2 linked regions of the Kluyveromyces lactis genome follow. The protein of the gene in region 1 interacts with the protein of each later gene in a biochemical or structural test. Links are inferred from orthologs where the notes say so. Each region holds a gene or a part of one and is shown on either strand. Other genes may lie near its edges.

What was found.
Region 2: the proteins of RTT109 (region 1) and ASF1 are reported together in a solved structure, tested with the Saccharomyces cerevisiae proteins (3 studies listed by BioGRID, with this or other methods). The link is inferred for Kluyveromyces lactis from reciprocal best matches to the Saccharomyces cerevisiae genes RTT109 and ASF1.

What each region holds. Positions count from the first base shown.
Region 1 is NC_006042.1:1,189,458-1,193,011, forward strand, and holds RTT109 (H3 histone acetyltransferase RTT109), read right to left. Parts: upstream 2,056-3,554; coding exon 763-2,055; downstream 1-762. Other genes in the region: dynamin-related GTPase DNM1, read right to left, coding at 1-396; PRE3 (proteasome core particle subunit beta 1), read right to left, coding at 2,382-2,964, 3,069-3,133; SFI1 (Sfi1p), read right to left, coding at 3,424-3,554. UniProt on the Saccharomyces cerevisiae protein: Histone chaperone-dependent acetylase that modifies 'Lys-9', 'Lys-14', 'Lys-23', 'Lys-27', and 'Lys-56' on histone H3 (H3K9Ac, H3K14Ac and H3K23Ac, H3K27Ac, and H3K56Ac) to promote nucleosome assembly, genomic stability, DNA repair and transcriptional regulation during mitotic S-phase.
Region 2 is NC_006041.1:1,330,453-1,333,352, forward strand, and holds ASF1 (nucleosome assembly factor ASF1), read right to left. Parts: upstream 1,477-2,900; coding exon 643-1,476; downstream 1-642. Other genes in the region: KLLA0_E14917g (uncharacterized protein), read right to left, coding at 1,926-2,900. UniProt on the Saccharomyces cerevisiae protein: Histone chaperone that facilitates histone deposition and histone exchange and removal during nucleosome assembly and disassembly. Facilitates histone deposition through both replication-dependent and replication-independent chromatin assembly pathways.

The sequences.
Region 1 (3,554 bases):
AATATGTAAAAACTCACCCCATTCATTCTTTATTTCAGGCTTATAGTTTGAATTCTTTCTCAAATGATCTTCCAAGGTCATTTCCTTCTCCGTGCGGGCATCTGGCTCGTCATTAACCTGTTCAAGTGACGTAGATGAAGAATTGTCATAATTATAAACCAATGGAGAATTCGGATCAATATTATTCAACTGAAGAACTAGAGGACGTCTGGTAACAATACCAGTACCACGAGGTAAGAAATCTCTCCCGACCAACGTTTCCAAGATCGAAGACTTACCAGAAGATTGCGATCCAATAACAGCTAAAACCGGTAGATCCAAACTGTCAATGCCTGCATCGTACATAACATCCTGTAGCTTATTCACCGTAGGAATCAAATCTTCTAGACTTGACATCTTCAGAGTTACTTGTGTACTATACTCCGACCTAATTAACCGTTCTAATAGACTAGTTTAAGGTTAACAGGATCGCATCTAATATCTAACCAATCAAAGATACACTCAAACGCAATATTTAACCATTTCATTGGATCAAATTTCAAATAATTATTCTCAATGCAATAGGTATTTTTTATTATTTATTTATTTATTTTTATTTTTATTTTTATTTTTATTTTTATTTTTATTTGATTTAATTTGTTACATTTTTATTCTCTGTTTGATTTCTGCTGAAAATTGACTTCCAATATAGAGATCCGCTGTGATGTACGCGCAAATTGTCCTGAATCCATTATGTAGTATATATATATCAGCACCGTCACACTACGATTTAGGTTTCCTATGGACACTTAGAGTGTTTATTACGTTAATAGTGTTTATTTCAGGCCGTTTTGTAGTAGCGATCTTGTGGTGGTTTCCAATAACTTTTATCATCTTCGTGGAGTAATGCATGTCAAAAATATCTCGAATGTTCATGTATGCTTCTTCAGCACCTTCTTCAGTGTCATATTCTTCTCCAGTTATGTAGTTCTTCAGATTTTTAAAGTTCTTCTTCGAGGTTGGTATAATTATATCAGTCCGTTCTGGTTCATTGCAACGGCCGATGTATTTTCCTGACACTCCAATGACAGACACAGTTGATCCCAGTCTGAACTCTTGCCTTGCTTGCAATTCTGTCCAGAATGTTAACACATTGACTTTAGAAATTCGTCCATCACTGATCAGATGGTCAAGGAATCTGCCCTTGGGGTCATCAGGGAATAATGGTATCCTGTATAATGCAATGTCTTGCGGACTTTCAGAGAAAATGTCTCCTACGGTCCAATTTTGATATGCTGTGTTTCTCAAATAGTTGGAAATTACTCTTTTCTCTTCTCCCGGTATTTGTAAGGTTGCCTTTGTTTTATTATCGAAATCTTCGACAACTATTTGGTCTACAATCTTTAACCACCATTTGAGCAATTTGTCACCACTTAGGACGTGTTTCCTTGGGTTTTTAGATGAGTTTGAAAACAAATACTGCGGCTCTGCCCTGGTAAAAAGACTTACCTTTGTGACAATTTCCGTCGGAACCGGGAATGAAACGTATAAATCTTGGTCTGGGATTTTAACCCTTGAAGTTATCCCCTTCGAATCCAACGGTCTGTTGGATAATATTTCTAACGCTCTCTGTACTGATGTACTTCTCTTTATAATCTTTGCACCGCTCAGTGCTTTCCTTATCAGCGGTTTTACCGCCCGCAAATAATGTCCTGGACTAATTGCCAGAATATATGCAATTATTGACTTAGTTATCTGACCAATGTCAAGTCTTAGATCGCAATATCCGTTTGTATCTGCTTTGGAGACGAACAAGAGCCTTTCTACGGGACCATTATTGGCAGAATTCAAACTGAAATAAACAACAATTTCAAGAGCAAAAACAACCTTCTCTTCAAAGCATAATGCGACGAAATGTTGTGTCTTGATGGTCTTCACCGTTTTTCCATTAACGTCTTCAGCTTCGCGTTTTGGAAAAGTTATTGGCGAGGTTTCTCGTGGAATTGACTGGAGATTAATGATTTCGAACTCATGACCGAACGGAAGTGCATCTTTAATGTAACATTCTAAGGACATACTACTATATCATAATATCTGCTGGGCTTTTCTATCAATTAACAATTCAAGTTCATTTCTATATTTTTGCATAGCTAAGAGTGTATTAATGATCCGTTGTACTTTTTTATAATGCCTTTCTGATAATCTTAACTACTGAGAAAGTTTACCAATAATGGAAAGCCGAAGGCAGAATACCTCTCAGGACCGAACGCCCCTTAAGATTGGTCTTGATGATAAGGAAACCGAGGTTTCTCAGATTTATTCTTCTTATATACCAATTTTATTCTTTAAACTAATATACTTTTGCTTACAGAAGACGGGTTAAGACCGCTTTATCGTCTAATCTACAGGTTTTCATACTCATCGGGATACACAATTAAACGTTCCACACCTTCAGCAGTAAGGACAACCATTCTAATGACACCACCAGATGAACCATCCCATTTGATGGCTTGTGATAGAGAATGTTTTACAAATTCGATTGTTTCTTCTTTAGTCATATCTTCCTTATAGTTCTTGTCACAGTAACCATATATGAAAGCAGAACCAGAACCAGCAATTGAGTACGACTGCTTGTGCACAGAACCACCAAGAGGTATACTATACACCTCTCCTTTGTTTTTTTCATCGTAGCCCGCCACTATAATACCTGCTGTGAGATGATCCTTGTTCTCGTAACATAATGTCTTGAAGATCGATGCAGCAACCTTGGTTGTAGGTTCTCCATATTGTGAGGTGTACAATTCTAGATGGTACTGTACAATATCGGCAACAGCCTGAGTGTCTGCTGCTGAACCTGACCTACAACACCAGATTTTATCATGAACCTTTGTTAGTTTATCTGTGACACGGTTGGCAATATACGCACCAGTAGTTGTTCTGGAATCTGCCCCTAAGATCACACCATCTTTGAAAGTCACGGCCATACTGTTAACATTAATTAAGTTTAGTTAGTATTCACTGATATCATTAAAACCGATTGATTCGATTGTGGGAAAGAGGAATCTTAACGTTCCCTTATTGATACATACATTGAAGTACCTAGACTCACTTCGCCCTTTTTCAAGCGGTTCATATCAACTTGAATTCCATCCATTTTCGATTATATTTGGGAATGATTTGATACAGTTGCTCACTGATGATACTCAATCCTGTGAATATCGTCTTTTAGGCGGTTGCATTCCTTCAATGTTGTATCTTTCTGTCAAAGGTTTGCCACCCGCCAAAAGATTCAGTTATTCCTTAATATTTTGGCATTATCAACATAGCCGGGTAACAGAATAATGATAATAATACAAATACAAACTGAGAATGTACTTAGCTACATAACCGGCTTTGATGCAAGTAGAACCTTACGATGGGACGCAAGTGTGGATCAGACTAGACTCATTGAATCGGTCTGGATCTTCTTCTAGTTGGAGAATCGTCACGTTCGGGCAGAGAATCGCCTTCCAAGAAGTCGAGATCAACTTTTAATTTATCTGGATCTGGTCCTTCAAATGGCTGAGGCGATGGAA
Region 2 (2,900 bases), on another chromosome or scaffold:
CCTTCAATTCACTTCATTCCTTCCAAAGAAGCTGCTGTTATATCTCTGTCAGGTTCCGAAAGTCTCCAATTTCCGGGTAATCTTATTTACCTCATAATATGTCCCGACGTTGAGTAACTCATCCTTGACTACAATGCTGGCTAAAGGACCCATCCATAGTCCAAATATACAGGGATTGAACTGCTGTGAAACTGCTATTTTAGAGAGATACCACCTTATCAACTGCTACTTTTGGAGGGTTTACTGTTTTCCCAGCCGGATTGACGATAAAAACGGTAGGATTTTCTCTTTTCGGTATGGGGAACGAAAAATGTACTTTTTCAGAAATTACGGGCGTGTGGCGTAGTTGGTAGCGCGCTCCCTTAGCATGGGAGAGGTCTTCGGTTCGACTCCGGACTCGTCCATTTTCTTTTTTGTCTTGAACGACAACATTGCATTCGAAGCGTATAAAGACCTTCCCTCCAAGCTAGTAGTTGATGCAGTCTTGATTTTTTGGACGCTTCATCGACGTGAGGAAGAGTACCGGTTTGTGTTGGTCAGCAATGTTACAAACGGGATTGAAACGATACTTATGAAAGGTATATAAAAGTGCGTTAATTTGGGAGGCCGCCGCGGGAGGCCAGGACGTGGAAACCGTTACTATTATTTGTGTTGGGTAGTATCCTGCGGCGTAGGCAAATCTGCATCATTCTCACTATCACTTTCTTTTTCTAAGTCTATCTCTTCCGCTTCTTCCTCGTCTTCCTCGTCTTCTTCAGGTCCCAAAGATTCCGCTTGCGATTCACCCTCGTCGTTCTTAACGTCAGAAGCAGTAGATTTCTTTGGATCCCTTTTCAGTTTCTTCTTTTCAGGAGCAGTTTCCTCACCTTCACCATCATCTACATCGTCTTCTTCTGCAAGATCTTCTTCAGCGTCCTCATCTGCCTCTTCATCCTCATCCTCATCCTCCTCCTCTTCTTCCTCTTCCTCAGGCTCTTCTTGTTCCGGAGGATAGAACTCTTCTTCACCCTCATTATCCCAAACGATATTAAACCTAGTAACTCTTGGTTTCTCAGCAAGGATATTTCTCACCACATGATCAATAGGCACTTTCTGAGGTGGGTTCTCTCTCAATTCTTCCAAATCGTATTCGTTGTTTACGTAGTACCCAACCCTTACAAACTCTTTACCATTATAAGAGCACGATAGTAAAATCACAGTAACACTGACCAATTCACTAGCAGGAATCAGATCTGGTGAAGGTGCATCTGCCACGAATTTGAACTTGTTGATACCAACGGGTATAGGACCCACCAGGATAGAATCCAATTCTTGATCATGGTCAAGTGATCTAGAAGAACCAACATACGTCAATTTCCATTCCAAATCGTGTTTTAATGGCTCAAGACATTCAAAAGTGATTTCAAATTCATAAGGGTCTGTGAACTTGGCTGGATTGTTCAATACCTTGATTCCTAAAAGTGATACAATAGACATGACCGAAAAACCGCTGTAACTAATATAATGATCCCTACAGTAACTCTCCCGATGCCTTGATACGTAGTCACTGGATTAACAAAGCTTGTTCTTAGAGCAATGCTTTTGTTAAGGTTATGTGATGTGATGTATAATCTTTTTTTCTATCTTTATATTGAATAGTTGAAAAGTTTAAAAGAAAGCGCGTCGCGTGAAGTTTTCAATCAGACAAAGAAAAAGACCGGTAGGAGAGAACGTTGAATCAACAAGGGCTGCTGTAGGTTGATAACACTCTAACAACAGTAGCTCGATAATAATACGATCAAAAGTTTTATTGAATGAAACAAAAAAAAAAAAAGAGATATAGAAGTGAATATACATACCTTATGTAAAATTGAAGTTCAAGGTGAAGGAAGATGCAATGTAGAGGGGAAGCCGCAGCACGGCCATTTCCCCTTCTTTTTTTTTTGTTACACCGTCAACGATGTATAAGTATTAGATTCTTGTACGAATTCTTGCGACAAAGGTCTTCCATTATTGAGCGAGCCATACGATAGCACGGCCGCAGAGGAAGTAGACGATGATGGTGAATGAGAGCCATCCAATTCAGAGAGAAACTTCGAATCGTGAACCAAAGATTCTTCAAAGTAGTAGATGGATGCAGAAATGCGTACCACTCCGATGGTTAGCACTATGAAACCGAACACAAGCCCTGTGTATAAAATCTCGGCTGTATGCGGTACCAATGAATCGTGATAGAACATTGTACTGTTCAAGATTGTAGTCAAATTATAGATGGAGAACACAAACGGATAAAGGATCGATGTAGAAAGATGAGAAAGCCCTGCGTTCAACAAATACAACTGAGTCAACGAGAAAGTTACCAATACCAAAACGAGCAAGACCATATGTAAAGAGATGGACCATTCAGTAACGATAACGTTCGACACGCATTTGGCAATGAGTAAAGCATGAGCTGACCATATACCACTAGCAAATACAAGCGAAAACCCTTTGACACGTTTCCCGACACCGAAAACACCCACCACAATAGACATGATAGCTAAAGCGTTGGTACCGACAAAATAACGAATAAATTTTTCACTTTGAGCCAATTCGCACAACTCTTCAAACGTATGCGTCAAAGGAGTGTTTATGAACATACATGACATTGAAGCCATGATGGTACCACCAGCACAAACAAAACCAGTGGGAATCAGGGGGAACGGTTCTCGTAGAAGCATATGGGAAAATAAAGAGTTGAAAACCAGGCCAGATGCCTGTAAGGGAGCCAATACGATCAAGGGCAAAGTAGCTATTTGAATGACACAACCGAATAAATTAGCCAAAAGGAAAAGCGAAAACCCCAATTGCCATCTCTTATTCCTATAAACGATTGATCTAGGTGGTACCTTCAGTTCAGAATGAAGGGAAAGAAGTTCCGA